2 linked regions of the Arabidopsis thaliana genome follow. The protein of the gene in region 1 interacts with the protein of each later gene in a pairwise test. Each region holds a gene or a part of one and is shown on either strand. Other genes may lie near its edges.

Region 1 (3,929 bases):
TTCTTGATGGGGACTAGCTTGGCAATACTTTCATCAGGATCATACAGGTTAAGCTCTCGGAGCTCCACGTCAGCACCGGCTTCCACGAAATCTACGCCACGGTTGTTGCAGAGGATCTCCGGTTCTCCGGTAGGATTGGTGACGAGCTCGCCGGCAAAGGCGTAGTAGGAGACGAGAGTCTCTGCCAAAGCAGTCTTGAGGGTTTCATAAGCCACTGTGTTGGTAAAGTGAAGTGGTTTCTTGTAGCAAAAGCAAACGTGAACGTTGAGAGGAGGAAGGAGGAGGTCGAGGTTCGAGAGTGGGAGCCAGTGGTCCTGGAGGGGAAGAGCCGCCGTGATGACTTGCTTCCTGGTGGTGGTCACGTGGAAGCCACGTGCTTGCTCCGCCGCTTCTCCCATTTGGTTGTTGTTTTCGGAGAGAATGAAGAATGTTGTGTGGTGTGGGTTGTTGGAAGATGCTGTCTAGAAGAGAATTTATAACAGAGCTTAGGAGTGAATTAGGTGAAACTTTCCAACATTTCGCTGATTTATTAATTTGAGGAAACAGAACAAGCTGGTTTACGATAATGCGTACGGCCCATTAGTTTTCCGTTGGGCCATATTACCACCCATTGGGCCTTGATTTTTCAACGAGATAATTAGAAATAACTGTAAGCCAACAACGTGTTTTGCCGCATGTCACGAAGAAACAAGACACAGTCACTTGGATTCCCTCAATCTGCCAAGCAATTCTCTGAAACCTGTGTATTCTTTATATTGAGACCAAATATCACCGTGTTTGAATCTTCTTTCCAAAAAAACAGATTCTACAAAATTATTCTGAATCAGTTCCTTTTCCTTCTCCTCTGTTTCTTTTCATGTTTCAGGGACCATAGTCACCATCTCCGATCAAATTGCATATATCCGAGCATTCCACTAAGCTACAATTACAAGTCACAGCTCCGATAATTAAGATCCATGCTAATAAAGAAAGCAACGAACCCTTTAATCTAGAAAGAAGGATACCAGTAATTACGGCTACGAAATCCTTGCTTGAATACCACTAATGGCCTTTCATTTACAAGAGATCAAAATATCAGTCATGAAGAATTCAGAGAGATATAAACAGAAACAGAGAGAGAGAGAGAGATACCTTCTGATATTGATCGGTCCTTCTCCGTCTCCGCTGCGAATGCAAGTGTTTACGCATTTGACTGTACATTTCTCTGCGTTTTTGGATTTTGGTCGTTGGATCCTCTGTTTCTTACAGTCTTCCCCTGACAGCGTTTGCGGTACGTTAGATAACGTTTCTCCATCTTGCGGCGGCGGTGGAAGCTCTGCTGAAGCTACGGACACAGCAGCCATCATAACCGCCGCGGCTATAGCCCCGATCGTCGCCGTGGATATACGAACAGCCGCAGATCGAGTCACCAAGCGACTCTGACACTGACACTGATGAGATTTACTACTACCTCTGTTGTATAACAATTTCGCGCGATAGAGAGATGACGAAGGACAGTGTATTATCATTACTCTTGCTGATTTTCTTGTGCAGTTTTCTCATCAGACTCTCTGTCTTGCTTAAGCTAAGTGGTTCTCGTTCTACACTCTATCCTTGTTTAGACACGTGTCCGTTTCTGGTGGCTTGGAATTTAGATACTTCTCAAACTCCACCAAACGCCCAGTTAGATACTTATCAGAATCTCCTGCTTACGTGGCATTAAGATTCGTCTCTCTAAACCTTCTTCTCAATCACAGTAACACACTAACTGCAAATAAAACATGCACGTTTACAAATCTAATCAAAGAACTAAATTATTATTGATTCAAAGTGTGAATACAAATTTCATCAATACAAATTACCAAAAAAAAAGAGTGGTAGAGAATCTAAAGACTCTCTATTCTCTCTTATCTTACTTTGCTTACACAAAAAAAAAACAAAAAAAAAAAAAAACACGTTAACGTACTGTATATGTTACACTCTTGCCATTCCCGAATCAGAAATGTCAATTTTACAAAAATACAATAAATTACCAAAAATAGAAGTGGGCAAGTGTGTGTGTGCGCGTGTGTGTATGTATAGATAGAATCAGAAGATCAGCCAACCAAACCCCATCAAACCTGAATCTCTCAACACTCTTGTCATCTGTGAAGAAGGCTGGCATTGCTCTCTTTCTTCTTCTTCTGGAAAGTGGCATCCTTGGTTTAAAGCTCGCATGTTAATCCCTGACCCGTGACTGTTAAATACCAATCTAAGCTAATTTCACAATCTGTCTCTCTCTAACTGGCTCTTCTTCTTCTTCTTCCAAAAGGTGTTACCTTCGAGAGAAGGATGAAAGTTTTTGCAACTTTGAATTGATCTTTCTAAATATACAAGTTTTTTTTAACCTGAGCCCCCAGCGACTTCTGCAGCTCTTTGTCTCATCATTTCCATTACAGCTGCTCTGCGCCGTGAATCTGATTGCTGCTGTAATCTTCTCAGATGCTCCTTTAGGTCCCTGAACAGAGAGACAGAGATGTTCACAATGATCATCAACACAAAATCAAATGGACCAAATATGTTTCACGTCTTAAATGTAAGGTTGATGTAATTTCATGAGGTTTGTTTACCTGCAACGAGGTACATGGCACTCTGATTCCTTGCAGGCCCGAGCATGGAGTTGCAGGAGATACCACATTTTTTTGCATAGAACACAACCTCCCGAAGCACGTACTTTGCAGTTGATACCATGTCGGAATAGCCCTTTCACTTTCCGGCAATTCGGATATTGACAATGTGCCGAACGACATTGTGATGCATGTACCAGAAGATCGAGCATTTTCCTAAGCTGCAAAACCAAAAGAAGAGAACAAAAAAAAAATGTTACTATTTGCATACAAATTTCAGGACCAAGAGAGAAGCACCATCAGTTTTAGAAAGGAACAGTATAGTGTATACCTGCAAGACTCGCAATTGCCTCGCTTCTTTGTTTTGAGCATTTTGATCAGCTAAAGATGGATGATTCGTCAACTTGTGAGGATGATTAACTCCACCATCTCTACTGAAACAGGCATTGCACACATCGTAGTCTGGACATACTTCACAGCGCCAGCCTTGACCAGTTTCAATGTCAAGATGACACGCATTGCAGGTCGTGACAAAGGCAGGAGCGGTTGGGTTATGTAGATGATAAAGGACCATCATGGACGAATGTTTTGCCCGCCTCAATGTATCATACTGATAATGGTTCCCTTGACAAAGACTCAGAAATGCTTGTCTAGTGTCGAAAAACTCGCTTTCGAGTATTTCATCTTTGTCTCTTGTATCTGCAGGAATATCCATAATCTCAACCTGCGATATCAATACCACCAATATTCACAAAACTGATCATAGACAAAGCTAAAGAACACTATCCTCAACAAGAAAATGCAACTCACTGGATACAACGCATGCTTATCCTTAAAATTAACAGGATGCCTTTCCCTGTCTTCACGTCTCTGCTCAGCCTCGTAACACCTAAAAAGAAGAATGACATTTTAGATTCAGAGGAACTTAATCAGTAACAAGGACACATAGCCCATCCAATAAATGTATCTCTCGGGACTTCTACATAATCTTATGTGCAATACAACAAAGAAGGGATTATAAAATCAAAGAGCAAAAAGACCTCGAAAGAATTCTTACTTGTCACAAATCTGGAAGTGTTTGCACTGGCTGCAGACCCAACGATTACCAGATACCATCAGTATGCAGCAATGAGTGCAAGAAGGCTGCAAGTGGACCATGATAAAGTCCTCCTTCATCGGGTGAATGGTCTCACCGAGCTGGGAATCGGTAAAACAGGTGAATATGATTAACAAGAAAAACAAAACAAATGAGAAAAAAATATATACAAAAAGGAAGCAATATTCATAGAAAGAAAATATTACTCTATGCATTAGAAGCAGATCCTTGGAAGCATTCCCAGATAG
Region 2 (6,274 bases), on another chromosome or scaffold:
TCTGCAATATTAATAAAGAGCGGTTACATGTTAAAAGCTTAAAGGAAGCGACCATTATTGGCAGGCTCGAAGGAAGTGAGATTTCTGAATTTCATCCACGGCTTGTCCCATACGATTGCCAAGTAGTTCTTGCTCACTCCGTCGCCGTCATTAGCCGCCACCTTAAGACGGTAATTTGTACCAGATACGACCTGAGTCTCGCCGCTAACAACCGTCTCGAACTTGAGTCCCGATTCGCTCCGTTTGTTGTACTCGGAGACCGCGAATTCACCGATCTCTACGACTTGAGGGTCCGTAACGTTGCTGATGGGACTCCAACCACCGACGCGGGCAGCCGCAGAGGCGTAGAGAGGGAGGAGGACGACGACGAGAGAGAGGAGAAGAAGGAAGACGACCTTACTAGTCATTTTGCTTTGTAACTGTTGTTTCCTCAAAATTGATTATGGCATTGAGTTTAAGGGCTTTTAAATACATTAAAGGTCCGCCACGTGGCATGACGTGTGGCAGAATTCTAGATTTCTAGCAGAATATTTATTTCTAATCTTAATAACACATGCCATAATTTAGGCAAAAGGTTTAATGAACTTTTATGAAAAACTTTTTTGCTTTGTATTTCAAAATTTATACTAATTTATTGGTAAATAATTAACACTCACATAATTCTTTATATGTTATGGAATTCAGCATAATATAGACAAATTAATGAGGTTTATCCTCTAGAGGTTGGATATCATTTATGTAATTTGCAATGGCCAACTTCTACCTACGAAAATAAATATCCAAAAGGATTATGACTACTTGTAGTTTTTTACGATTATAAGCATATTATTCAATAGACAAGTAGTGTATAGCAAAGGACAAAGAAAGAACATAAATGAGTGTAAAGGACAAAAACTAATTAAAAAGCAAGACGTTATAAACCATGCATTGATGTTTTGTTTTCTTTGCTTTTTGTGTTTGTAGAAAACCGAAAACAGAAGAAGACACGCTGGACAATGACGTGGTATGGTATGGCCAGGTTGGACCGCGCGCTGGATTTGCCACTAGTTGCTATTGTTAGGAAGAAGAACACACAAATCTGTATTAACCCTTTTTCATATACACACCAAACAAAAAAAAAAAGGGACCAAAGTTACCGGTACGTTGGAAGCACAAAAGAAAGCAATGGTACCGGAAACTATAATCGGGCGGGTTACAAAAATGGGCCGATTTTGTGAATTTTGACCTCATCTAAATTTCCCATTCCATTGACTATATATCTACATATGTATTACGGTAGTAAACAATATAGTACAATAAATCAATTGTGTACATGGTCTTGTGCTTGGCTTGTAGAACTAAACTCCTCCCATTGATGCAAAAACGTAAGCCCCTGGCATCATGTAACAATATCTATAAGAAAACTAAACTACAATGAATCTTATTATATAAAGAAGAAGGTTTTGAGTAAATTACCAAGAGTGGGCATCAAGATGGAGAGAAAGATGGTTCCAGCGATCTTGAGAGGCAAGCCTGTCTTGATCATGTCTTTGATCTCTATATGCCCTGTCGTGAACCCAACGACGTTAGAGGGTGTTCCCGTGGGAAGCAAGAAAGCGAACTGAGCCCCAATGGCTCCTGGAACCATCAAGAGCAAAGGATGGATCCCCATGTTCTTTGCGATTTCGATGAGTAACGGAACCAACAATGTAGTGGTTGCGTTGTTTGAAGTGAACTCTGTGATGGTAGCAGCGATGAGGCAAACCGTTGGAGCAATGGCCCAGTAAGGAGCCGTTTCAAGGAAGACAAGTCCTTTGGATAAGACCTCAGCTAAGCCACTGGTGCGTACTCCATCGGCTATAGCGAATCCAGCTCCCAATAACAAGACAATGTTCCATGGTAGTTTCTTGCATTTGTTCCAGTCCATTAGCTTCTCTCCTTTTTTAATATTGCTTGGGATGATAAACAACAATGTCGCCATCATCACACTCACGGTTCCATCCCCGGCTCGGCCGGCGAAGATCCGACCCCAGCCGGGGATATCATCAGTTATATTCCTTGTCATCCACAACACAACCAACCCACCAAACACGGCTAAGACCATCTTCTCAGCGAAGTTCATTGGCCCTAACAAATCAAGCTCTCTCCTGAGATGAGATTTATGGAGATAAGGAGAGAGAGCTTGTCCTGCTCCTTTAGGACAATACATAACACAAAGAACACACCAAAGCACCACGAATATGCACAAAGCCAATGGGAAGCCAAAGAAGAACCATTGGCTAAAACTGATCGGATCAGCCTCAGGGAAGTAGCTTTTCCACATTCCAACAAGAATCAGATTCACTCCTGTTCCAGTGAGTGTGCTCATCCCACCAACCGCCGCAGAGTATATCACACCTAACACCACCGCCCTGCTAAACTTCCCCACGGCCGGATGCACCACTTCCGTCGTCGATGATGACGAGGGCAGTCTCTGAAGTATCCCCGTAGCGACAGGCATCATCATGACTGCAGCTGCTACGTTATGCATCCACATGCTTACGAACGCTGTTGTGGCGCAGATGCCAAGCAGAAGTAGCGGCGCGTTTAGCGGCTCCACGCAGAACACCAACGTTATCTTCAAGAATTAGATTATCCATTAAGTTATGGTATTAGCTTATCATAATTAGATACGTGGTGACTGGTGAGTTTTCTCTTAATCATAGGATATCTCTCGTACGATTAATTATAGTTTAAAAACATGATAAAAGTAAACAATGATTATAGTTGTGACTTGTGAGCTAATTATTGGAGCCCGCACTTGCACAAATTAAATCATACTCACTATCATTGCTTTTGCTGGAGAAACATAGTGTTTACGTGTCTCTCATCTTTTTTTTTGGGTTGTCATATAAATGGAATTATGGATTGGCCTAGGGCCTCATGAAATGACATCTCATCTATGATACAAATAAAATAAAATAAAATGCATATGAAAAAGATTTTGTTTAAAAAATTGAAATAAAGGACTCTTTGTATGTTAATAACTTAACTTTAAATGATCAAGTTATCATTAGACTTTGAACACACAAATTATTGAAGAAGAATTAAAACGAAATAAATGTGTGTGGGGAAAAAAATGTATGGGGAAGGAAAAACATATAATCTGGCATCACCACGTATAAAACATGGACCACTACACATTGTAATGTTTAATTTTATAAGTAGGGATTCAATTGAAGCAATCCACCTATTTAACGATCATATTTTGTAATTAATTCACCCGTGGACCCGCACACAATCGGAAAGAATCAAATATTGAATAAATTATGTAGAAAAAAGAAGAAGAAGAAGAAGAAGATAAAGAGATAAAGGAAAGACTAACGTTAAGGGCAAGCCGGCGATGGATGTTGTAGTGTTCGACGGCGAGAGCAAGTATGAAGCTGCCGAGTACAAGGGAGATGACGTCATCCATGTAAGAATTTGCTACGTCATCCGCAGCCGATATACCAAAGAGAGGGAAGAGGAAGAGCGGCGTCATGGAGGTGATCGGCATCGGAACGGCCTCCGTCAACCACCACGCGAACATCCACACCAAAACACCGAGCATGTTCCTCGCCGTCGTCGTTTCATCTCCCCCGAGATCTACGCATAGACACACGACGGCGCAAAGAAGAGGACCAAGAGCGATGTAACAGTTTTTGGGCGTGAATATTGTCCGAAGTTGTTGTCCCACCGTTTGTCGTTCGAATGGTTCATCATTATGGACGACCGGTAAGAGCGGAGATTTCAGATCGTCGGATCCGGCGACGGTGACATCACCACCGTTCATTCTGTTTATTCCGTTTTTAATGGAAGGACAAAAAATGATATAGAGAAATGTAAGAACCAAAGAAGAAGAGAAATGAGCCTTTTTATAAATTTATTTATTTCTTTTATTATAATGTGTTTGGGCAAAACATAAAAATAAATATACGAAATGTGTTTATATTAAGGTTATTTATAGAATAATTAAAGTTTGTGGTCATATGACGAAAATATTCGGTGTAAGACCGTGAGTGACACATGTGACATGTTTTAGTATGTGAAGGCCTTTTTAGTAAACTTGTGTTTTTTTCCTGTAAAAAAAAATTGTATTTTCAATCACAAATTTTTGCTGGTTCACGCAAATAAAATTAACAATGTATGGGGTAAGATTGATTAAAGAGACAAATAATGTATTTTTTTGGAAGCCAAAATCGAATTATTAGATAATGGGTTAATATACGAAAGAAAGGTCATTCTTCAGTGAATATGTGATTGATGACTTTTCAGTTTATCTAAGGAAAATAATCGGCCATGAAAATGAAAATGATGGGGTCTTGCAAATTACAAGTTACAAGTGGCGACGCTGTGATGGCTTGTAATTTTGTCTGGACTCTAGAATCTGATGACCCATAAAAGGACACTAGAGATTAAGATGACAAGTAATCATAACAATCTATTTGCTAATAAATTATTCAGTAGTCATATAATCCAAGTGCTATAGCCTATAGGGAATTAATCATTAAAAATATGTAAACTTAAGAGTTATAACTTGTAGATAATATTGATCGTAGCTTCTCCATTAACATTTATTGGTTTCGTTTTATCCACAATCCATAAGCCTGTAACTTTGATTAATATGTCAAATGGATAGTAGAATAACTAAAATTTCAAAGTATATTCTTTTGCTAAATAAGCTACATATTACGAAATATTTAGAAAAACATAATCATTTTCGAATTGATATATAAATCCTTTTTTATGGTTTAGAATTAAGAGGATATAGAAATGTTGAAAAATATGGAAATAAATGAGGACAAAAGAGAAAGAATTGAAAGCCAAATTGATAGTTGGCAAGAGTAAAGAGAGCGAGTGAGACACGTTATTATATGCAGCCTTTGGTACTCCTCCAGAGCCCAACTTCCCTGGTTCTTACCCTCCCCTCTCTTTTTTTTTTGTCCTTTTTCCTCCAAATTTAATAATAATAATCATATTGTTGTAATAATCATATAGATACAAATTTTCTTAGAAATGTTCAAGAATCGACATGTATTTGGATTTTTTAACTTGTCTGTCAAATCTCTCTAAGAGATATAGATGCACTTGGTCTAAAGAAGATAAGCACACATACACACATGCATGTAAAGATATACGTACGATGAGATTTGCTATATCCAGTTTGCCAACAAAGAGAAGGAAGACTTATAAGAACTATTCCCTCAAATATAACTGGATATAACATAATAAGAGAGAAAAATAGAGGTGTGGTACCAATCACAATCTTGTTTTGAAGGGGTCCAAAACAGTCAGGTTGAACAAGAGCCGGTACAAATGACACATAGGCAGATCACATTGATGATTTTGATCATGAAACTATTATTATTTACTCTTATGGAATATTTGAAAAGATTGAAAGAAATCCTTGACTCATGTGGCTGTCTTTGATTCCATCACTTGGAAAGTTTCAGTCCATAGATTCTATGATTTTTATTTAAGATTCTATGATTATCAACTATAGTTTTAATCATCTGCATTGTAGACTATGTAGTCTCTAAACTTGCCCCTTATTGTGACAAGTCTACATTAGACGTGTATTTGTACAAGTCAAATCCAATTCATCATCCCACAGTCACTTATCAAATTTCAAATTAGAGCTTCTTAAAGTATTCTTCTTAGTATAAAAATTTTAGACAAGTCACACCAATCTTTTATCATATTAATTTTTACCCGTAAGAATAAGATCTATGTTTACAAATACGAATTTCTTACTAAACTACTTGTCGTGATGAATTTTGATAGAGATAATCATCAGAGAAAACAAAGAGAACTAAATAAATGCGTATAAGATATGAATAATATACAGAAGAGGAAAGAAATACCGAATACGTAATGGATATAAAACCAAAGTTTCAATTCCAAGACGGATACGAACAAGTTCGAGTTTCTCTCAATGTCCCACTCACATGCCCCATTAGGTTTAATTTGTCTTTCTGTTTTTTTCTTTTTTCTTTTTATTGTAGCCTTTGTTTGATTGAAGTCGTACGAGGCTCAAACTTGGTTCGACACATGGCGCTAACTGAATTGCGAGACGATTGTTTTCTAAAAGTTACAAAACACAACTCAAGATTTCCTGAACCAGAAGTCTTCTCTTATGGATCTCTCTCACTGGTCACTGTTAATTACAGAGACAACGCATATAATAAAAACAAAGTCTTCTTTTTATTCTTTTGTCTTCAAGTTCTAAGCAGGAAACAACAAACATTTTAAAGAACAAAGCAGTGAAGAAAACACG

What was found.
Region 2: the proteins of AT1G78995 (region 1) and TDT interact in a protein complementation assay, tested with the Arabidopsis thaliana proteins (one large-scale study listed by BioGRID).

Annotation. Positions count from the first base shown.
Region 1 is NC_003070.9:29,714,572-29,718,500, forward strand, and holds AT1G78995 (uncharacterized protein), read right to left. Parts: upstream 1,685-3,929; 5' UTR 1,509-1,684; coding exon 1,132-1,508; intron 1,050-1,131; coding exon 1,005-1,049; intron 920-1,004; coding exon 862-919; 3' UTR 501-861; downstream 1-500. Other genes in the region: AT1G78990 (HXXXD-type acyl-transferase family protein), read right to left, coding at 1-398; HAC1 (histone acetyltransferase of the CBP family 1), read right to left, coding at 2,068-2,204, 2,367-2,476, 2,589-2,806, 2,917-3,309, 3,396-3,474, 3,643-3,782, 3,888-3,929.
Region 2 is NC_003076.8:19,286,558-19,292,831, forward strand, and holds TDT (tonoplast dicarboxylate transporter), read right to left. Parts: upstream 4,547-6,274; 5' UTR 3,791-4,546; coding exon 3,344-3,790; intron 2,597-3,343; coding exon 1,456-2,596; intron 1,373-1,455; coding exon 1,338-1,372; 3' UTR 812-1,337; downstream 1-811. Other genes in the region: AT5G47550 (Cystatin/monellin superfamily protein), read right to left, coding at 39-407.